Caenorhabditis elegans: one gene and its partners. The protein of the gene in region 3 interacts with the protein of the main gene of each other region in a pairwise test. Each region holds a gene or a part of one and is shown on either strand. Other genes may lie near its edges.

What was found. The genes of interacting proteins can lie anywhere in the genome.
Region 1: the proteins of sek-1 (region 3) and snt-4 interact in a two-hybrid assay, tested with the Caenorhabditis elegans proteins (one large-scale study listed by BioGRID).
Region 2: the proteins of sek-1 (region 3) and gln-3 interact in a two-hybrid assay, tested with the Caenorhabditis elegans proteins (one large-scale study listed by BioGRID).

The regions. Positions count from the first base shown.
Region 1 is NC_003279.8:6,433,106-6,441,692, reverse strand, and holds snt-4 (C2 domain-containing protein), read right to left. Parts: upstream 5,648-8,587; 5' UTR 5,543-5,647; coding exon 5,500-5,542; intron 3,791-5,499; coding exon 3,672-3,790; intron 3,124-3,671; coding exon 2,980-3,123; intron 2,792-2,979; coding exon 2,492-2,791; intron 2,450-2,491; coding exon 2,355-2,449; intron 2,061-2,354; coding exon 1,906-2,060; intron 1,794-1,905; coding exon 1,636-1,793; intron 928-1,635; coding exon 796-927; 3' UTR 501-795; downstream 1-500.
Region 2 is NC_003282.8:16,167,281-16,173,578, forward strand, and holds gln-3 (Glutamine synthetase), read right to left. Parts: upstream 3,399-6,298; coding exon 3,392-3,398; intron 3,342-3,391; coding exon 3,168-3,341; intron 3,151-3,167; exon of another isoform or gene 3,130-3,150; intron 2,955-3,129; coding exon 2,793-2,954; intron 1,850-2,792; coding exon 1,375-1,849; intron 966-1,374; coding exon 617-965; 3' UTR 501-616; downstream 1-500.
Region 3 is NC_003284.9:7,813,567-7,822,418, forward strand, and holds sek-1 (Dual specificity mitogen-activated protein kinase kinase sek-1), read left to right. Parts: upstream 1-3,167; 5' UTR 3,168-3,237; coding exon 3,238-3,250; intron 3,251-3,309; coding exon 3,310-3,400; intron 3,401-3,507; coding exon 3,508-3,640; intron 3,641-4,759; coding exon 4,760-5,143; intron 5,144-5,294; coding exon 5,295-5,545; intron 5,546-5,607; coding exon 5,608-5,719; intron 5,720-6,470; coding exon 6,471-6,497; 3' UTR 6,498-7,470; downstream 7,471-8,852. UniProt on the Caenorhabditis elegans protein: Dual specificity protein kinase which acts as an essential component of the p38 signal transduction pathway which is also composed of upstream effector nsy-1 and downstream effector pmk-1. May phosphorylate pmk-1.

The DNA of each region.
Region 1 (8,587 bases), on a different chromosome or scaffold from region 3:
TCGTATTTTTTCTTCTTTTATAAAATAGTATTGATTTAAATGAATGTGTGGTTCTTTCGTGATATCTTCTATTATGTCAGAACAATTAAAGAAAAATAAGTAAATGAGCGATTTAGTGAATGTGTGTTACCTGGGAATTTTCGATATATAACATTGCTTTTGTATTTTTTAAGGAATCGTAGGTAAAATATTGTAACCGTTTATACAAATGCATTTCTACATGATCATAATATTTGAACTTCCCCCTAATTGAAAACTGCAAGATCAATCAATGATTAGCTCCGCCCCTGGTAAAGTTCGAATACGCTGATTGGTTATAAAGAGGACGTGGCTTGTCATTTTGGAGGAATTTCAAACATGAAAAAATTCAATTGAGAAGAGATTTCAATTTTAAAATTGATATTTCTGAATTTCAAAATATTTTGGGTACTTGAAGAACCGTAAAGAAAAATCCCCAATCACAAGTTCTAGAGTATTCAAGAAGAAAAAAACCATAAAATAACAGAATTGGAACGGATCTTTATTCCATCGAAAAATAAAAAAAGAATTTGAAATTAAAAATGATGTTAATTGCCTGTTTCAGATGTCAACGTGTCTGTGAGAGAGAGAGAATTCATGTTAAAATGTTAAAATGAATATAATTATCTGACAAAACATGATGGGAGAGAGAATACAAAATTTCAGTTGTGGACGGAGAGAGTGATGACTGTTATTTAATGGAAAAGTATGGGGGATTAGGTTCGAAAACCAGTAGAGGTCTACAGAAATAAAAGCAAAAAAAAAGGTTTAAATTTTTTAATCGAGATGATGCCACTGAGCAACTTGTCTTCCTGGATTCTCAAGAACTTCGACAACGTGAGAATCTTCCATATTAAGAAGGGCACGGCCAATTACATCATTACGGTTAACACGGTCATGATTGATCACCTGGAAGCATATAATAATATTGTAGATATTGTAATCATATTAACGGCGCTCGAAATCCCTTTCCCTTTGGGTCTCGGCTTGATAAGTATGTATATTTTAGAATTTTTGATTATTTGGGTATTCGAAAGTTTATCCGTTTTTATATGCAACAAGAATAGTATATAACCCACATGTGGAATTTAGCGATATATCACCAAAAGAATACAGTACCCGGTCTTGACACGACCGAATATGAGTGTGTTTCTTAATGAGTACAGTAATTTCCACGCCTCGCTATCGCGAAAATTAACGATTTTTTTCCTTTTTTCTTCTAAAAATATGTTTTATTTAGCCAAGTACTGAATGTGAGAAAAAATTATGAACAAAATATAGATAAACGAAAAAAGAAAAAAAAGACGAAAGGAACTGCGAGTCGTGGAAACTACTGTACTTTTTAAGGGGAAACATTTATTTTAATTTAAAAATATAAAGTCGTGTCAAGACCAGGTGACGCATTTTTTTAGTCATAAATCACAAAATTTAAACTCTCAGTGTTATAAGGCGTGTTTGCAGTCCTCTGTGAGTTTCTGTGGTGCTACCATAAGCTGTTCCTCGCGGTGAGACTATTCAAATATATATGTGCAGCTTAAAGTACGTTTTTCAGAAGGAAAGTTGCGAAGGTTTGATACTTTGTCGTATTCTTCATAATTTTTCCCTTTTCTCACTAACCTGCAAGTCAATAACAGAATGTTCCAATCTATCATCTGGAAGTTCAAAGACAAACGATTCGTTGTAGACAGGATTCAAAGTAGACCTTCTCACATGTGTTCTCTTTTTAACGATACGTTCTCCACTTTCCTTGCGCAAGTATAACTTGACAAATGGATCTGGAAAAATGTTCTATTTTTAAACATTTTCTAGATCACTGCAGTCATTCATTGAGGATCATGAGATTGTTCATGCGAGAAATCAACAAAAAAAGGAATCAAGAGTCTATACCTGCAGTTCCGGCATCGTTTCGTCCTCCGAGTCCACGGGCTTTGAGAACAACAACTGTCAAATTGTTGAATGCAGCTTGATATGTCAATGAGAGAAGAAGCTCTCCACGAGCAGCTACAGTATCAGTGGCACGTGGGAGGAGAGGGAGTTCAACTCTGGAGAATTTTAAATTAGCATCAAATGTCTTTTGTTAATAAAAAATTTAAAGAATAGTTTTTAAAATGATAAAAAACGATAAAGCAATATAAGATAATTCTGTTTTGGTATAAAAACAATGTGACCGAGTTTTCAAACGTGTGACGTCACCCGGAGCCTCTTAATTTGACATGCGGGTGTTTAAAATATTTTTTGTCTAATTTGTTCTACATTTCGATCTTCTCCCTTTTTCTCTAGAAAAACATAGCATATAAATATTTGAAGTCTGTAAAGTCTGTAAAACAAAATAATACCTCATCTCATTGTGAACTTGAAGTTCTGCATCAGCCAATCTGTAGACACATTCTCCAACGACAGTGTCTCGGGAGTAACGATCGAATGCGACGACCTGAAAATCCTTTCATGTTTTCAAAAACCCTTTGCTCTCTACCTGGAAGTGCAACGTGGCAAAGTTAACTTGCTCGTGAGTGACTCCATACATTGCAAATTGCTCCTCATAAACTGGGCTGGTGGTTGAACGAACGATACGCGTCTTGACACGATGCTCACGTTCGGGAAGTAGTTGTAACTTGACATATGGATCAAGGAGACATTGTCCGTCACGAGAAACTACCATCTCACAGAGATTTCGGCAGTTTATGATACTGACAAGAAGGGTTAGAGTGTGAGAGTCATAGCTCAATGTGAACGAGATGTTTCCACGTTCGGATGGAAGCTCTGATGGGGATAGCTGAAACGAATAATTGAGCAACTATAGTTATTTTTAATTGGATTTGCCAGAGCCCGGAATTAGGCTGTTAGCCTCGGCCTTCAAGTTTGGCTTTTAGGTGTAGGCTCTCACAATTGGGGTTTCATAATTAGATACTCCTATTTTAGAAAATATAAATATGTTGCCTACGCCATTATTTTACGACTTACTTTTCTGGTTCGATCCTCCAAAAGATTCTGCAATGGAACGACTGGCGATGGCGTGGAGTCATTAGAAAGCGGCGATTGAAGAGGAGATGGGCTCTGCTTTAGGCCTCCAGGGCCCTTGGGAAATCCACCACGGACAGCAATCACCTAGAAAAATGTATGTAGTCCTTGGTCTATAATGTGTTTTGGTTGTAATTATTCATGGTCATATCTTTATTTTTCTCTTACTAATGAAATTTAAGAAACGAAATGAGACTCGTTCTTTTCTTTTTTTCTCTATTTTTTCCATTTTTTCTTTGCTGTGGACAAACAGAATGTGACGTTGTTCGTTCAAAGAAACATTAGAAATATTCAAAAATAGAAATTGATCCCTGGATTTTGGTAATCTAAAGAGAAACGGAAACCGATAAAGTGCAAGAAATATGGAGAACAAGAGAGGAATTGAAAAGTGTACGTGTACTCTGAGGAGTTCTGAATGTGACTAATCATCAATTTTTAATGAAATTCAGACAGACACGTAACCTCCTGAAAACTAGAACAGATGAAACCCCACTGAAAATAAGAAAATGACATTAGAATCCTAGGGATCAAAAATTATTAAATTTGAAAAGGTCAAAAAATAAATTTGTCGACTGAGTTCAAGAGTTCACTATATAAAAAATTGAGATTATTTCAGCTATAATTCAAACTATTACCTGTCTCGGGGGAAGAAGAAGTGACGGATATTGACGACGTTTACGAACTGCGAGAAGAGCGGCAACGGCTACAAGAGCCGCGAGACCGACGGCTCCACCAACTCCGAGATAGAACCATTCTGTAAATTATTTAATTTTTTTTTAAATCATAATTCAGTGGTTTTAGTTTGATTTTTTCAATTAGGACAGAAGGCATCACGATGGTAGAGTTGGCAAGAGTTAAAAATATTGAAAATGAGCTCTGATCGGCTATGCTCACCAAGAAACATGCAAGTTTCAGAGAAAAACTTCCAGATCTCTGAGCTCTAAGTATCTATTTTCTCATAAGCTTGAGAATCCTTTAAATCCTCAATTAAGCCTCATTTCACATGCCGCTCCCTCTCACACATAAAGCTGCTGCTTCCTCGTTTTTTCACTTAATCATTTAGCTGCTTCTCGGAATAATTCGAAAAGCTCGAGGGCTCACGGAAATGACAACAAAAACAGAGAAAGGGAGGATAACAAGGAATTTCCTGGTTTTCGAGAAAATCTAATTAGAATATTCTGAACTTTTTCATAACATTCTAAGATTGAAAATCAAATCAGAAGGGAATTCAAAGTTTACTTCGCCTACGCTAAGCTTCTCCATTGAATCTAGCTTGGTTAATCTTGTCTGAGAAAGTCCACGACTTTAAGATGATCAACAAAATGACGTCATAATCTTGTTAGTAAACATGATTTCTGAACAGAAGTTTAACATATTTTGCAAAATGTTTACTTTATTCAAGAAATCGCCGAGAAGATTTGAAATTTCAAAGGGTTTCGAAAACAATAATATGTTTCAAAATGAGTAACTTTTTGTTAATTTTTGGACAAAGTTAGCAGTACTGATGTCATTGGTGCTAAAAATGGAGAACAAGTTTACAACTTTTTTAAAAGAGGTGACGTCAAATCTCTGAAGCCCGAGAGCTTCCACTGAACTTTTATATATTCACAAGAGCCCATCATAAAAAGGTGTCGAATTACCAAAAGCACAATTCGGGAAATTGGCACGCTCAAAGAATGTGTAAACAATAGAGTCATTTTCGAAAATTGAATATTAGACGTGGTGTATTAGTTGATTGATTCCAAGAATATTGAGTCAGAATTCGTCAGAACCGATTTTCAGCCAGACACTGAAGCCAAGTCGCACTTTTGATGAGATAGACATAAGTTTTTGAAAAACTGGCAAGTTGTACTTAGTTATACCGAATGCCTAGGCATAAGCTTATGAATAGTTTGAGTCTAGAAACATTTCTAGATATACTGTTACGAGCCAGGGGTGTGCGGATAACCGATTTTTTTCAAACGGATAAATCGGCTAATCGGCTAATGCCGATTTTTTGAGAACCGGCTAACGGCTAATTCGGCTAACGGCTAATTTCAAAATTTTCGGCTAACGGCTAATTCGGCTAATCTCAGTCATTCAAATCGGCTAATTCGGCTAATCTCAGTCATTCAAATCGGCTAATTCGGCTAAATCGGCTATTATCCGCACACCCCTGTTACGAGTCAGAAGAGAAAACGCATTTAGGTTCACATCCAGATCGAGTCGCCTCTCACCATCTACGCGCTTTCTGTGGAACTTCTGAATTACACTGTAGGGTTCACGTCAAAATACAGTACCTTAATTGTAAGCAGGCGCGCGGGATCGCACTGCTAATTGAACATAAAACAGAAAAGTGAAATTATTTACCAATTTCTTCCCCCATTAACACGTAAATTACGATCATTCTGGGAACATTCACTCAAAATTATTGAATCATTCATATTCAATTAAAATTTAAGAAATAAAAATATTGAAACTAACCATGTCCCGCGCTCTTCGCCAACCCCTCCTGATAGTGGGGCATGTGACGAGAGGACGTCGATCGGTCGGCTGAAGAAGACGACGACCGGGCAAAAAGTGAGTGAGCTTGCTCCGTGGGAGCTCTGAGCCAGCCAAAAAGAAAGAAGAAGATGAAGAAAAGAGAACGACGAGAAAAGGGAAAGAGACGGAAAAATAGGAAGAGAGAAGAGAAGGGGGAGGAGTCAGATGGGGTGGATGGAATAGAAGACGTTGTGTGTCAGCTGGGATGAAAGAAGTGAGGGAGAGAAAAAAGGGGAAAAACGATGACGAATAAGTTTGGAGCACTTGTTGCTCTCTCATTCTCCTTCAAGCCAAAAAAGCCGCGACGCGAGCCGCCTCGCGCCAGACAACGTCACAAAGTGCGATGGCGAAGGAATGAAGCAGAAGGAGGTGTGAAAAAAGAGGGCGAGATGAGATTAGAGAGACGATGGAATTGAGAAAAAGATGAAAACGAAGAAGATTGAAGGGAAAAGTAATTGGAAAAGATATGTGTGCATGACTACGGTAGCATTGATTTATGACCCGCTTTTCTGTTGTTTCCCGTGACTTCACTTTATCGTCAGACTGAGTAAGTCTATGGTTGTTATGACATAAAAAGGTAAATATTCTAAAATATGATGAATCAGGTAATAATGGGAGAATAAGAATCAGAATTGAAATGAAAACATAGCCAGACTGATCAACTTTTAAAAATACAAAATAAATGGAGCAGTAACATCTAAATTTTCAAAGTAATTAGGTTATAGTCAATGAAACTCAGGTAGGCCTTTTTTTAATGGCACAAAAAACATAAAACTCGGTTGAGAATTTATCTTAAATTTTTTACGGTCGATATTTTAGATACGGCGGGAAAAGTTGGGAGAAGCTCGAATGAGCTTAGTGTCGGTAATAAGAGATTTCCCTTTTCCATTAATTTTTCATTGACAACTCTAATAAGTTCCCAATCCAAGAAATAAATCTGAGTTGATCCACTCATTAATCCCTTTCGCAAGAAGATTACATCGGATAAAGTTCAGATAAAGAATTGGTTTCCAGAAAGAAAATGCCAGGATTTTCTTTCTTTAATGTCATTTTTCTAAGAGACTTTTGCACCTGGTTCAAATTGTCTAAGACATTTAGAAATTGTACGTGCTCAAAGATGAAGCTCGCTCCAGGTTTGAAATTTCAAAAATTTTCCTGGGTAACAATGACTAGAGAAAATGTTGATTATTTTTGACGTTGGCAAGGTAATGAAGTCTGTAGTTCGAAAACATTGTATGTTTCTGGTAATGGCTAAAAATAATGCATAACATGTAAGGGAAACCTCAGAAATCATGTCTTTCGTGGTTTGCGCAGCTATCCATCCATTCGTCTAAAAAATGCTCATTGATGTATAATTTGTCTCGAAATTCTCGATTTTGTCTCAAGAAAGTCTAAAGTCCACATATTTTGCAAACCGAGCACACATTCATAACCCGTCATAAGTTTATAATCCGATCATATGACTTCATGGTCATAATTGTCAGTATCCTTCTATATCTCTCGTGCTTTCCAACTTATAGAAGGAAATAGAGATACTTTCATGGGAACAGGAGAAAGAAGAGAAAATGAGGATGAGATTGAATTCAATGGGAAAATAGGATTTGGGTGTAAGTAAAAGGAAATTTAAAAAGGAGTTAATAAAACTTAAAAGGAAGATTTATGGTAAGCTGTTCGATTATGATGACACCTTTTAAATATTTATAGATGGGTTCGGAGTTTCACTTAGATTTTTGGTGTCATAGATTTGGAAGATTACAAAATTTACGAAACTTTAGGTTTCATTTTTCTTAACATTTGCCAATGTTATTTGCTCATTTTATAGAAGTAGTTTTTCCCAACTGGGACTACTTGCAAATCATTCCAAAAACCAAGAAATGGTTGGAACCTATGTTTTGAATTTTCATATGATGTGCCATTCCTAGATTTTTCTTAAATTGGTTTATCAGCTTAACTCGCTTAGAAATTAAACCACAAATTTCAATTTTTGCAGTTCTCTCATTTAAATAGTATCTGTTCTCTCTTGCAGACTCATTTTAATTTGAATTTTGTGTTCCAAACGGAGTGCTCATAAAACTATCGGACCTCCGTTTTTTATATGTGACATCTGACTGCTTTTTAGAACATGCATTTGAGTGAATAATTCATCAAATATTCCTCAAACTAGGAGATGAAATGGGCAAAAGAAAAAGATGCGAAAAAGGGTAGTCGGACAATTAAGTTTAAGAACGAAATATGTTTTATTTAAAATCTTATGTTTAGGTTATCACAAAAATTCAAGCGACACATTTAGATATTTCGCACTCGCTCCCAATGACTTAAAATTGCAAACTTTTGATTAATTTTATAGTGTTGTGAACATTTTGAAAGCTTTTTGGAAAAGTTAAAAAATGGTTTTTTTTAAATACTTTACATTTTTTCAAATAAGCTGAAAATCTCCAGAATGTTTACCAACATTCTTCAAAATTGTAAAAGATCTAAATAAAACCGCATCTGGATAAGTTTTACAAACTTCGAAATTGGATAACACACTGAAATAAATACATATAAAATGTTTAATGTTTTTTTTTTCATTTTTCTTAAATGTATGGGATAACCTAATCAAGCCCATACACTGGTTTCTGAATTAATAAAGTCTTCCCAGATAGGATCATATTAAAGATAAAATTATTTTCAAATTAACAATAAAAATAATTGCTCAAACTTTAGCTTTGCATTTTACAGAGACGTGACGTAGGCACAAGGTATTTAGCGGGAACGAGGAGGGCGAATAAAGAGGCGGCCTTGATTGGACCATGTCATCTGCTCAGTTACCATAAAAGTCATACCATAAAATTGTAGATTTACACATTTAACTTGTGTTATTGGCACTTGCACATCCTAGACGAAATTTGCTATGTGTGTTATTTGAGAAAATACTTTTTTTTTTGGAAAACTAAAAACATCTTGATCAAAGTTTACAAATCATAAATTAGAAGTGATTAAATATTATCAAATGCTCTTGGAAACCAACTTGGAAACAATAACAAAA
Region 2 (6,298 bases), on a different chromosome or scaffold from region 3:
GCAATTTTTAATTTTCAGGGGTTTCACACATTTTTATATTGAAATTTATCAATTTTTGAATAAATCTTAAAAGAAAACACAAAAAAATTAGAAAAACGCCTGAAAATTAAAAATTGATTAAATTCAACGATGACGCAATAGCTCGTAAATCTACACAAATTGGTTAAAAACTACAGTAGTTTTGTCTCTTCCCGCGGGTTCATTTGCGCGGCAGATATGGCGATTTTTCTGATCTGTGGATAAACACGTAATATGAAGTTTGAATTGAATCACACTGAGAATTTCGAACTTCCATGTTAATTTTTTCATCATGTTTCACTACTTGCATATTCTTCTCAGCCTCTCCTTTAATTTCAATTTGTCGATCCACGTGGGATTCTATTTTCAAAAATTTAGTTGAAAAATGTGATTTACTGTTTCAACATTACAAGATATTGCTTTGTGGTATTTTTTTAAATTTAATTAATATCCTGTTTAAATACGGATATAGGTTCATCAGATTTTTTTTTGAAATTTTGAAACTTTTATTTGTACAATTAAAATGTAAATGTTCTTTACAAAAGATTAATAAGTATTCAAAAAAAAAAAGAATCATCACACTCAAACTATCCGAACTCTAATGCTTGGTAATATTTGGTGCCTGGCTTGGAACATACATCATCGACAGTTTACGCTCGGCTCCCTCAAGACACACAGTTCTGACGAGGGCTCCGGTGACGGTGTACGGGTCACAGTTGGATGATGGACGGCGATCTTCGAAGTATCCGTATCCATCATCGTCGGTGGAGCGTGGAATACGAATGGATGAGGCACGGGATGCGACTCCGTAGGAGAACTTGTCGATCGATGCGGTCTCGTGGAGTCCGGTCAAACGACGCTCGTTGTCTTTTCCACCGTGTGGATCGTAGTAGGCAATGTGTTGTGGGTGGACAAGGGAGAGCTTGTTGATGGCGGACATGATCTCGCTGAAAAATTAAATAGTAAGTATGACGTCATAGTTTTTCGAAAACTAGGTAAGATTTTTCTAAGCCGAATTTTAATAGAAGCCCGCGGTGTGTATGGCCTGAAGAACAAGCTAGGCCCAAAACTTGAATTTTCTAGACCAAAAGCCCCCAAGAAATTTTAGGCCATAAAAGGATTGTTATCCATCAAGGTTCCTCAGCACTAGGGCTGGCATATCGGGCGTCCGTAGTCCGGTTTTCACGGCGGCCGACAATTTACTAGTTTAGTCACTCATTGTAACATTTATGATTAAGTATAGTGAGTGGCAAAACTCAGAAAATGTCGGCCGCCGTGAAAACCTACTCCTCGGAAAATGTTCAAGCACTAGGCAACTATCTCACGAATCAGATTTTTGATGCCCTAAAAACTCACTCAATTCCTCCTGGATTTCTCATCTTATCAGTGGAGAAGTTGGTGTGACATCCGGCTCCGTTCCAGTCTCCCTTGATCGGCTTACAATCGAACGAGGCGATCACGCCAAACTCCTCGGCGACACGTTGCAGCAAGTAGCGAGCCACCCACAACTGATCTCCCATCTGGATTCCTTCGCATGGCCCGACCTGGAACTCCCATTGTCCGGGCATCACTTCGGCGTTGGTTCCCGAGATCTGGATTCCGGCGTAGAGGCATGCGCGGTAGTGAGCCTCGACGATGTCGCGACCGTAGACCTTGTTGGCGCCGACGCCACAGTAGTATGGTCCTTGTGGTCCTGGGAATCCGTTCTTTGGCCATCCGAATGGATGTCCGTCAATGTCGAGAAGGGTGTACTCCTGCTCCATTCCGAACCATGGGTGCTGGTCGGCGGCCTTCTCCATCACCTCCTTGCATCGCTGGCGGTAGTTGGTGGCTGGAATATTCACAGTTTAGAAAAAAGGATTAAAGGACGATCCGTTGTGCTACACTCAAAATAATAAACGGCCCCACATTTTTACCGTCCCCTCACGGGGAAAAGGCAAAACTCGGGACCAAACCAATATTAGGCCGCCGACATCTGACGAGTTCCGCGCGCCGCTGCGTTTAACTCGTTGTGGGCGTGGCAAGCTGTCTCCGCCCGCTGCGAGTTAAACATAGCGGCGCGCGGAGTCCGTGAGATGTCGGCGGCCTGATATTGGTTGGGTCCCGAATTTCGCCTTTTCCCCGTGGGTGGACGATAAAAAGGCGGAGCCTAAATATTAGGTTTTCTGCAATACACACCACGCAGTTTTATTTTTTTGAGTGTATGTACTGCGGATCTAGAAGTCAGGTACACTTAGTGCTCCCACTGGGCTATAACTTAAACCACGTCCTAGGCGGGGACTATGGCCGATTATGCAGTCGTGGATTGCTCCACTTCCCAATAGAGGCTGGGCCGAACTTGAATTCGTGACCTCCAGATGGCTAGCGGCCACCACTAGCTATCCTGCCCCTCATTGTTTTGCGTCTTGAAAAGGAACTTTGGCCAGTTCATAAGTTCACTTATCAACCGCCCGTCTTATCAACTCGTGGTCAACCACCCCATCCCTCTGTACATAGTACATCACTGTTGACCCAACAGATGAGCCTCCGAGGGCGTCCGATTAGCAGACGGGGGGCAAAGATGGATGTGTAGTCTAATCTAGGAGGCATCAAAGCACACATTATGAAAAATATACCATAACTGGTTCTAATCAATTGTTAATCAAGGACTACGCGGCACTGACCACCTGACACTTGGACCCCCACTCTCTCTCTCTCTCTCTCTCTCTCGCCTTCGTCGTTTATCTCTACCTATCTCTTCTCTCGGTGTCACCATCGAACTTCCAAATACTCACCGGTTGGCTTCTTCTTGTTGTCATAGGTCTCGCACATCACCAACTTGTTCTTTCCCTGCCTAAATGGGTCTGGGTAGATGGCGACTGGCTTCAGGTAGACGTCGGAGTCGGCTCCCTCGGCTTGACCGGTGGATGATCCGTCAAAGTTCCAAATTGGGAGCTCTGGAAATCGGAGGGAATTGTTGTAAGGTAGCAAGATATGGGGCTTGCATCGAAAATTTGAAATATTTTGTTAAAGTTGCTACGTGGAATCCGAAAATCTTAATTGAAAATTCATACTTTTAACAATTGCCGTTTCAATGACATCTAAACTAAACTAAACTAGAAGCATCTAAACTAGATGTTCTGGAATTTCTGCAAAAAAACAAAACTCACTCTCTGGGTCAGTTGGCTCAAAATCGAAGGTTCTGGTCTTGGCACGAATGTTCTCGCCGGATCCGTCAATCCAAATGTAGAGGGCCTGGTACATGCCCTTTTGGTCCAAGTTCAGGAACTTTTGCAGGACCTGCTTGTCGGTGGCGAATTGACTGCGGAGTGATTGAGCCATTTCTGTAATTAGAAGGTGTTGAAAAATGCGAAAAAAGCGTTGAAAATCATACGCGACATGTCTGGGAGAGTAGGAATGGATGGTAGAAACACTAGTGTACACTGTTTTATAATAAATTGATATGATATTTATAGTGACAAAAAGGAGAGCTTAGGCGGGGGGCAGAGTACTCGGTGATAAGGCAAGTGTATACGAAGTGAGTGTCTTGGAAAGCAGAGTGAAAGTTCTTTGAGACTGATGGGCGGGGCGGGGCGTTGGGTCACGTGGTTCTAGATAAACCTAGATTTATGTTGATTTCGATGACATGGGAAGACAATAATAGTGGGAGAGACACGAGAGTGTTCAGAATGGAGAGACGCAGAGAGAAAACGGGGGAGATAAGATATGTGTATGCATACGTGCATTTGGTCTTTGGACTTGGTCCCGCCAATTTGCATAGCGTTTGATTTTTGGTCCGGTAAAGGTTTTTTTCTGGGAAATTATGATTTTTAAAAATATAAAAAATTTTAAATTTCATTTACCAAATTTCATTTTTTTTCCAAATTTTTGCTGTTTCAAACGTTCCATTTCTTCTAGTAAACTTTAAGAAAAGTATTTGCAGTTTCTATCTATAACATTTTAAAATAAATTGAATTCTTCCAAGAATTGCAAGTTTTTAGCATAAAAACTCAAAAATAAATTCGAATTTTCATTGAAAATTTTTTTCTGTTTCAAAATATTAATTTAAAAAAAAAGAAAACTTTTATTTTCAATACATAGCCGTTTTGGTCAGTTTTCTCAAAGATCTGTAGATTCTATATTTCTTACACCGCCCGACTGCCCATCTGCACTTTGTGCACAGAGTAGCACGGACACCCAATCTTACGTTGTAACAGAGGGGTCACTTTATTTGAAAAACGAGAGACACATGCGTTTTTCACGTGATTCCACGAATTTTCTTATCAACTCTCAATCTTTAGTGATAAAAAAGAACATTGAACCTATGAAAGAAAAAATAAAAGATTTGAAAGTTGGGGAAGTGATACAATGATTGAAATATTTTTGAAATAAGAATGTTTTTTTGAAAATAAATTTCACTGTTTCTTACTGTCTATAATTTATCCTGATTTTTTTCGCTTACGTTATAGAAAAAATAAAAGATTTGAAAGTTGGGGAAGTGATACAATGATTGAAATATTTTTTGAAATAAGAATGTTTTTTTGAAAATAAATTTCACTGTTTCTTACTGTCTATAATTTATCCTGATTTTTTTCGCTTACGTTATAGAAAAAATAAAAGATTTGAAAGTTGGGGAAGTGATACAATGATTGAAATATTTTTTGAAATAAGAATGTTTTTTTGAAAATAAATTTCACTGTTTCTTACTGTCTATAATTTATCCTGATTTTTTTCGCTTACGTTATAGAAAAAATAAAAGATTTGAAAGTTGGGGAAGTGATACAATGATTGAAATATTTTTTGAAATAAGAATGTTTTTTTGAAAATAAATTTCACTGTTTCTTACTGTCTATAATTTATCCTGATTTTTTTCGCTTACGTTATAGAAAAAATAAAAGATTTGAAAGTTGGGGAAGTGATACAATGATTGAAATATTTTTTGAAATAAGAATGTTTTTTTGAAAATAAATTTCACTGTTTCTTACTGTCTATAATTTATCCTGATGGGGGCAGATAGCTCAGTCGGTAGTGGTGGCCGCTAGCAGTCTGGAGGTCACGAGTTCAAGTCCGGCCTCACCCCCTAGGTTCACCCAGCCTCTATTGGGAAGTGGAGCAATCCACGACTGGATTATCGGCCACAGTCCCCGGCTAGGACGTGGCTTAAATTACAGCCCAGAGGGCAGTGTACCTGAATCCCAGATCCGCAGTGCATTGCACTTGAAGAACGGATCGTCCTTTAATCCTTTTTTTTAATCCTTTTTTCGCTTACGTTATATAAATAAGTAATATGGGAAAGCAAAATCAGAAAAAAAAAGTTAAAAATCCCAATATACACCTCACTTTAAAACTCGTTTGGGAATTGAAAAATCATAAAAAATGTTCCAATCTAAAAATATTGTTATTATTCAGTTGATTTTTTTTATAGAGAATAATGGACACATATTTTGTGAAGATTAGAAACACTACAAAAAACCGATCATCCAAGCTTAAGCCTAACCCTTAGCCTAAGCCTAAACCTTTACCTAAGCCTAATCCTAAAGGCAAAACCTAAGTCAAAGCCTAAGTCAAAGTCTAAATCAAAACCCAAGCCAAAGCCAAAGCCTAAGCCTCAGTCTAAGCCTAGTATAGGCCTAAGCTTGAACCTAAGCTTAAGCTTAAGCCCAAGCCTAAATCTAAGCTTAAGCCCAAGCCTAAATCTAAGCTTAAGCCTAAGCCTAGGCCTACGCCTAGGCCTAAGCCTAGGCCTAAGCCTAGGCCTAAGCCTAGGCCTAAGCCTAGGCCTAAGTCAAAGTCAAAGCCTAAGCCTAGGCCTAAGCCTAAGTTTAAGACTAAGCCTAGGCTCAGGCCTATGCCTAAGACTAAGCCTAAGCCTATACTCAATATTTGGCCTACACTCAACTAATCATTGAACATTTATCGGCCACGAAAACCTATAAAAACAAGAGAAAACGGTGATGTTTGTGTCTCGCCGTCGCACACTTTTATATAACGGAAAAATGTGGGTGGAGCCGAAATGACTCCGCCCACTATAAGAAGTTTCAATGACACACAAATATATTTGATGATGGGAGGAAATGGGCGGAGCCGGGGGTATGATGGGGGAGAGATCAACTTTTGATTTGGAATGGGAAGTATGGGAAAATATAGATTTTTTGGATTTCAAGTTAGAGAACGTATTGAAATTTTCAATAATGTGCCATTTTATTATTAGAATTTTGAAACCAGATTTTTTTTTCAAAAAAAAAATTATCAATCAAATAAAAACGTTCTGAAAATAAATTCTTCATATTCAAAACAAACT
Region 3 (8,852 bases):
TAAAAGCTCATTTTATACTTTCTAACCTTTACCAACATTTTAGGTTGAGTCCCTATGTTTATTTGAAATAACATTTAAGGAACTTGTGTTCTTCTTCAAGTTTCTTGAAACCAGTGTACGACTAGAATAATTCGCATTTTTTAGTTGCATTTTAAATGAGTAGTGTTGCTAGCTTTTTAAAACTTAATATATAGTTGTGAAGCGTATTCTACTTTAATCATTTATTGTTTTTTTTAAATTTTTATTTTTTTTTTTATTGAACCTTTATTTGATTGTTCCCTAAGCATTCCTAGAAAAGTGGAAATTTGATTTTTGAACATTGTACTTAAACAAAAAAGCAAGAAGCTCTCATTAATGATAGGTGCGCAAACGCACTCCAACCTAATCCGCGACATAATTTTCCCCCATGTACATATATCACGTTCTCTCACAATAAACCTCTGACAGGCCTAACCAATGTCTAGAAAAATGTGTTTTTTCTTCAGTTTATTTTATGGCCATGTTGTTGCAAGCATTGCATTTTATTTTACTTGCTAAAAAAATTTGACCAATGTTTCTGAACTGTAAGTTCAAGAAATTGAAGAAAGTTTATGCACCCGAAAAATTACTAAGTCTTCTCCCAAAGCGTTCTTTCATGTTTTTCAAGCATCTAAGACAAGCTGACGAAAGCAATGATGTTTTCGAATCTAACGGCTTCTTGGTTATTCAATTATTAGTCGGATAACTTTATTCAATTCATTTTGTGGTGTGAGCTATTTAGCTTTCAGCTTGCAGCTTTTGGTGTTTTCTCCAAGTAATAGTTCGAAGCCCGGTATTTTTTTAAATAGAAAATTTACAGAGATGCTAACTCCCACTTCTACTAACCTTTTTTTTAAGTTGAAAGCTCAATGCGTTTACCTTTTTATCTGAGATGATTAATATTTTAATTTTATTTGAACCAGTATTATTAGACGAAGATATATTTTTCAATTACTTATTTGATTTTTTCTCTTCAGACAGTTTATATTTTCTAAACCTTTTTGGTTTTTTATAAACATGAGCTTTTAACTTTGTTGAAGCTTGAGAAACTTTTAATTTTTCATGAAATATAACTTATTTTATGTTTCAACGTCTCGAATATCTTTCCCCTCTTTTAAATACTTTTACTTTTTTCTCGTTTTGCATATGACTCATCTACTTGCTGGAATGCAAAAAAGTATGATGAACAATTTTTAGGGTGAGGTTAGTAGAATACAAGTACTGCAGACACAATATACAATACCTTTCCACAAATGGAAGATTGTGTCTGTGTGTATGAGATGAAATAGATAGAGAGAGAAAGAGAGAAAGAGAGAGTGGCGAGTGTAGAAAGTAACATTTAACAGAAAACGGCATTGAAAGATAGAGAGAGAGAGATGCAGAGAGGCAAAGTGATAGAGAGATGGAGGAATAGTGGTGTCCTGCGTAACTTTTGTCGTCGTTTCTTATCACTTGTTTACGTGCACAGTGCCCCCCCCCCCCCCCCCCCCCCGATGATCAACATTTTTTTGTGAACAGACAACAACATTTTGAAAGGTGATTTCAACGAATTATCTTGTTGAGAGCAAACGGGTCTGAAGCATATTCGTGGCTTAGCAATCTTATCAATTAATTGGTTTTCTTCCAAAAAATTGAGTAAATTGTATAGTTCTATAAGGTTTTTGTAACTGAACACTATAACTTAAAAGAATAACTAAAAATGTACATGCGTCCCGAAATACTTACAAAAATATTTGCGAACCCACACCGTCTAAATGATTCAACAAAAAAAGTTTCGCAATATTATACTATCAGGCAATTTTTGTAAAATCTGACCATTACACATACGGGATTTCCTGAAATGTGTGGTCTTGCGAATTTCGCAACTTTTCATGACAAAAATGTGTTTGGTCACAAAAACGGTTTCTCGACACTTTTTCCGAAAAAAACGTTTGCACTTTTTCACTATTTTTAAATCTATGTTCTGCTTAATTTCATTTCCACTTTTCTCTTAAAACATTTGACAAAAACTATAAGTTCTGACTCCCAATACTTTTTTCGTCGTATTTCCCTTCCGTTAACTCACTCACTGCTCTAGTTCTCAATAACAATAAATCAAGCGCTCAGTTTTTTTCGAGTTTTTATGGGCCCTTTTTGGGGGAAATGAAGGATAAAACGATAAAAACTGCAAAAGTATACTAAAAATAGTAAATTGAAGTTTAAAAAATTTAATATTCCGAAAATTGAAAAAAAAAACCCCATGTTATATGAGTTACTTGCCGCCCACCCACGGAAATTATTTATTTCTGCGTTAGTCATGCAACTAGTAAGAAGATCCCGCGGAACCATGAGTTTTTCTTTGTGATATTTCCAAATTCAGTATCTCCAATTAAATGATTCACACTTCGTTTTCTCCCTGCTTTATAAATGACTCAGCTATTCATGGCAGCTCCATCTTGCTCCTCCTCCCCAGCTTCCATGTTGCACTTGTTCACATCACATCCCATAAAAATTCATGCACCCGCTCCAAGGTTACTATTGGTTCCCAGTGACAACACCAACAAAAACGGATTTCGGTTCTCGTTTTGGTCTGGCACCTTGATTTCAATTTGAATTTTTACGACAACACATCCCGGGCAACGGTTTTTCGCTTTGTTTTCACATTAATTTTTTCTCACTGGGATGAAAATGGGGGCCCCTCTTTTTTCCCTTTTTCTATTTTTCTGCTTCCTACTCACCAAATTGCTTCTGCTCTCTTCTCATTCTTCTATCTTTTCCTCACTTTTTTCCTATTCCTATTTTTCTTATTTCTTCTATTTTTCAACGATCTATTCCGCGTTTTTCTACAGAATTTCGTACTCTCATTCATCAAATCTGAGAACCCTCCGCCAGGAGAAAAAAAGAAGGAAAAAACGTGATTCCCAAATCTTTAATTAAAGGACCAGATTGATGGATAAGTAACGAAAGACCAACACTATCTATTTTACATTTAGATTCGAAAAAAGATTGAATGACACCTCTAAATTTTGTTCACAAAACCGCGAAACCACCATTTGTATTCTTTATTGTCATTTTTCCTCATTTTTCGCTTTGTGAAAAATTTACCCACCGTATTTTTTGCTGAAATCCGTGTCTCTTGCTCTTTCCTTATCCTCATTTAATTTTTGCAGACGATCGCTGGTCGGCGAATTCTACAATTTATGTAGATCGGTGCGGAACGTCTCTCTAGAGTCTTACATCATGGAGCGAAAAGGTAAGAAAAATCTCATTTACCTCAAATTTGCCAAAGCATCTAATTTCGACTTGTTGTAGGACGTGAGCGCAAGCTGCCGGGCATGAAGATCGTGATGCCAACACCGGTCGAGACGCCCACAATGAATCTGGAAGACAGATGTCTTATCAAGTAAGTATTAGGTGATACCCGTGTCGGGTTTGATATTGAACACGTAAAGACGGCGCGGCGAATTATGTAATAATAATATAAGTATGAGAAATTTTTGATTGATGCAGATTGACAAACGAGTCCGAAGAGATTGAGATTGCCGCCACCGACCTCGTCGTACTCGAAGAACTTGGAAAAGGTGGATATGGGATTGTGGAGAAAATGCAGCACAGGCAGAGCGGGATAATTATGGCGGTAAAAGTGAGTATCACAACAAGAACAGTTTGAAAAAATTAACTATGTACATATGTTTGGTAATTCACCAAAAGCGGTTTTTTCAAAAAAATGTTTCATTTTTTCGTAACTTTTCAAAAAGTAACTAAATTCAAATTCCTATTTGGCTGGTGCACTAATAAATAGGCAATTTGTATAAATTTAAGATATTCATAAAATACTTTTCTTTAATTAGGGAAAAACTATTCTAATTTGAATGCAACGTGTCATTTTTCACATACAATAGTTATTCAAAAGCAAATGCAAGTTAGCAAGATGAAGATTATTGAATTTAGGTGTGACTGCAAAAATAATAGTTAGTCTTCATTGCCAACGGAAAGCATTTCCATTTTTTGAAGGGCGCCGTGTGAGACGACACACTGATTGCCTTTTGGCTGTCGGCACACGCGCCCACACGTCACCTTTGAAAAGTTGGTGTATAAATTAAAATTTTCGTGAACAAAGGTAAATTATGGAAGTGAAGAAATGAGAATTTGAGGATAGGATTTCAAACGCAGGTCACTCGTTTCTGATATGATGAAAAAAATCTTTTTTTTTTTGAAAAGGAACATGAGAAATAGATTCAAAGTAGCTTGATATCAAACATTTATGGAATGTATTGAGATTTATCAATACTTACTGATTTCAAAAATTCATTTTCATCCATACACTAGAATAAGTGACTAGGTGATTGTACATCAATATGTATGTTAATAGGACATACCAACAATAAGAACAGTCTGTGACGCGGAAATTTTCCATAAAAAAGGTCACTTCATAGATTTCATATGTTGAACTTTCACTAGAACATATTGCAAATACTTCATATGTAGTTGTGGCAAAGTTCAAGATTAAAGTAAATACAACATGTAAATGGAAAACTGATCTGACCAAAAAATGTTTTCAAATCACGAATATTTAAATTCTCAATATAAAAATTAATCGAAACTACAGATTTAAATACTAAAAAAAAATTATAAATTAAATATTACTGGTTTGAACCGAGACTTAAGCAAATCGCGTATTGAAAAAAATAAAAAATGAATTTTCAAACTAAATCGAATTTATCTTTTAAATTGATCCTAAGCAAATTTCATTTTCTTACAGCGAATCAAATCATCAATCAACGATCAATCTCAAAAGCAGATGCTCAACGAGCTAGACGCGTGCAGGAGAAGTGATTGCTGTCCGCAAATGGTACGGTTCTATGGAGCAATGTTTCGCGAAGGTGATGTCTGGATTTGCATGGAAGTGATGGACACGTCGCTGGACAAATTTTACCGGCACGCATACAAAATTGGCAAACACATTCCAGAGCCGTTTATTGGGAAAATGGCTCTGTCGGTCATTGAAGGACTCAACTTTATGAAAGAGCAACTGAATTTGATTCATCGAGACGTGAAACCGTCGAACATTCTGTTAAATCGACATGGACAAGTCAAGATTTGCGATTTTGGAATTTCAGGTCACTTGACAAACAGCATGGCCAAGGTACGGAAAATCGATAAAAATGAGACCTCTATTAAAAAAATGAAATGCAATTTTATTTGCCGAATGATGTCATGCCAATCAGAGTTATCTTTCAATTTCATCATGACCGGGAAGAAAAATTTCAAAATATATATAGTGTTTCGATTTACAGACTGTACAAGCCGGATGCAAACCTTACATGCCACCAGAGAGAATTGATGGAGAGACTAAGTCAGCCTATGATGTGAGAGCTGATGTATGGAGTTTGGGTATAACAATAATTGAAATCGCCGTTGGCACCCATCCCTACGCAAATTGGAAAACCCCATTTGAACAATTGAAACAGGTTGTGAAAGAGCCGCCACCAAAATTGCCGATGGAAAGTGGTTTTAGTGTTGATTGTCAGTACTTTGTCAAGAGATGGTGAGTTTTTTGGAGTTTCTGGGTGTGGAGTTGGGAAGAGTATGAAAATTTGCAAATTGCAGTCTTGAAAAGGATTACAATGAACGTCCCAAATATCCGGAATTATTGGCGATGCCGTTTATGGAGCAGGCAAGAAATGAGAAGCAATTTAGTATGGCTCGGTTTATCAATGAGGTAAGATTTGCTGCTATCAAAAAGACAATTTTTTTGCTGAAAAATTGAGAAAAACAATCTGTAAATAAATGGGTAAAATTAAATTAAATGTTTATTAATTTCTCCATTTAAATGAAACGTGAAATTGATTTTTAATTTTTAGGCTTAAAAATTGTTGTCTAAGTATAATTGTCCTCCTAAGCCTTAAAATACAAAAGAGTTTTATTTTCTATGTCTAAAAATTCAAGTTTAGCGTTAAAATTTTTGGACGATAGCTTTTAGTGAAAATCGGTATTTTGTTACAAAACACTTTATTGTAGAAACTAAACACTTTAAAATAAATTGAAAATTGGTGAATGATGTCAATTTTGTGAAGTGTGCTTAAATTGCTTTAAGAAATAACAAAAATGCAAAATAAGTGCAATAAAAAAACAATCAAAAAGTCAGGTTATTTCTGAGAAATTTCGAAGAGTAAAAAATGTTGTCAAAAAATCAGTTCGGTACATCAGCAAAGAAAAGTATAGATCAACTTCAAAACATCACCAAAACTTAGCATGTACAGTTTGTTTCCAGCAGGACCAACTTACAGTAAAAGCACCACTGAATGTTATTTTTTATAATTTTTTGTATTTTAATCTGAAAATCGTTTTATATCTGACAATCTTGAATCTTACTAAGGTCCGATGGGCACCTTCTGACGGTTCCCTAGTTAGGTAAAAACTATGCTAGATTTGCGAAAAATTGCAAAAACTTCTGAATTCATTCATTGCAGATTCTCGACACTGTTTGGCGACGATGAGCATCGGGTGTGCCGAATGGCGAACAAGTCTTTTTCTAGTACGACACGTCTCAAATTGAGAATAGCGTTTTTTTGTACGCCTCGCTGGCCGTCAATGGAACATCGATATTTGTTGAATAATCAGCAACGTGGACGGAATAAATTATCACTTCTTTTCCCTTTTTGTCAAATATTGAATTTTATGTTCTTATGTTTTGTTTATATCATATATCTCTCAGATTCCAATTATTTCTTTGCTTCTGGTAACCGTTTCTTTCCGAGTCAACCGCTTATCCTTATTTCATTTTCAATTTTATAGGAAATCTTTCTCTATCGCTTCTTTTTTCGTGTCTTCTCCTCGTAGTTATAATCAATCATCGGTGTTTTTCTACATTTTTTTTACGTTTAAATGTTCAAGTAGTTTATTAGCATCTGTGATTTTTATTTTCAAATGGTAGCTCATAATTTTCCAATCAAACTCGAAATGACCTAGTTGTTTTCTTAAATGATTTTAGTAGTCATTCCTATCTCATCTCATCAGACTTCTCATTTCAATTGTTTAACTTCTTCCTCTGCATATACAGTGCCATTTTCGATGTCAAATTCGTATTCAACATGGATTATTCTACTCTAGAAATCAAAAATGTATTCTATTGCACCCCTCCTCCCGCATTTGTTTCATCTGTGGGTTAATAATGATATTTATAAATTGATGTGCTGTTACAAAAACGAAAACAATCAACATCACTTATCCTTCTTTCTATTTTTCTTCTTCTCTGGTCTTATGCGCTTATTCTCCTTATAACAGTTCTTGCCCAGAAAATCAGCGTACACGTTTCATTTTCTTTTCTGTTCGTTTTCTCCCCTAACTCAGACATTACAAATTTCTAAACGTTTTGTTTTCAATTACACCAACCATCCCCCACTTTTCTCCCTCACCCCATATCAAGGATATGAGTCTCTTTTGGTTTATATTGCTCGAGTAAAGATTTTTTTTTAATTCAGATAACGGTTAAATATCGTGAATTGATGTTGCAATGTCTTCCTGTTTCAGAGCTATGTAAAAACTGACGCCAGTGATAAAATAATGTGGCAACCAGAGGAAGGAAAAATATAAGAATGTGAAAAAGCAAGTTTAGTTCAAATTTTTCAATAGTAAATCACACTACGACTTGATTGGGATAGTTGGTTTTGGTTGCTTTTCAAGATATTTATAAAAACGTTTTTTAAATTTTCCAATATATAAATAGAGAACGAGTGAATATCATTTTCCTTGTTTGAATTGCCATAATTGATAAATTGAAAATATCTGGAAAATAATATAAACAAAAAAGACCAAGAAATATAAATGTTTTGTTTCATTAAGGCACATCATGTACGGACTTCTATTTTACTATTATTTCTATCGTTTTCACCGGAGTTTGCTAAAGTTGCAAAATTCTTAAAAACAACTGATGCTTGTTTCAGAATTGCAACCGACACAACCGACAGCAAAGTTGCCAAAGCTTTCCCAATCATCAAGCATACATTTTTGTTGAACATAAACCTTGGAGTGTTTTCGTGAAACTTTGTTAGAAAAATTTTTTCATTAGAAGTGAAATGCTACTAACTTTCTGGATTGTTGACGCCGGGTTTGCCAGAGCTATCAAATATAAAATTACGAGTGTGGTCACAGATGTCGAGCCACAAGATTCCCGGTGGTTGAGTATGAGCAGCCACAATACGTTTTTATATATATGATGTAACTTTTTGAAACATGTTGAAACTTTTTGAATTTCAATAATAACAATTTTCTTTCTAAATATTGCAATTGACGTTGCAAAAAGTTTTCACTACATGAAGTGAGCAGTACCATTATAAAAACAATAAATTTTCTTGAATCGGTACATGAAATTTTCAGTTTTGAGGATTTGAAAAATATGTAAATACGAAATATGAAGAATACATAAACCACAGAAACATGATCAATTATCAAAACACGGATTTCATTAATTAAAACAGTAAATCAAGAATTCTTACTTAATCATATTTTAACAGCATTATAATTGTATTTCTCACGAAAGGAAAGCTACAGCAGGAGGGAAAAAACAGTAAATTTGATTAAGTTGGGGAAAACCTATTTCTAAACCGTTCTGGTTCTTAAGGAAGTGGTATTGTCTGTGCGTTTTTCGCCTTAATGACAAAAAATTTCAATATGGCATATAAATTTTATATGATTTTCTCAATTTTGCAAAAAAAAATTCGATAAGGCAGAATTACTTCCAATATCCCGCGCAAATGAATGACCTTGTTTTGACATTTTTTTTTTCGTTTTCCGGCTGTGTTAATCAATTTTTACTTGGTTTTTTGTTTATTTTGTAATTAAAACAAATGTTT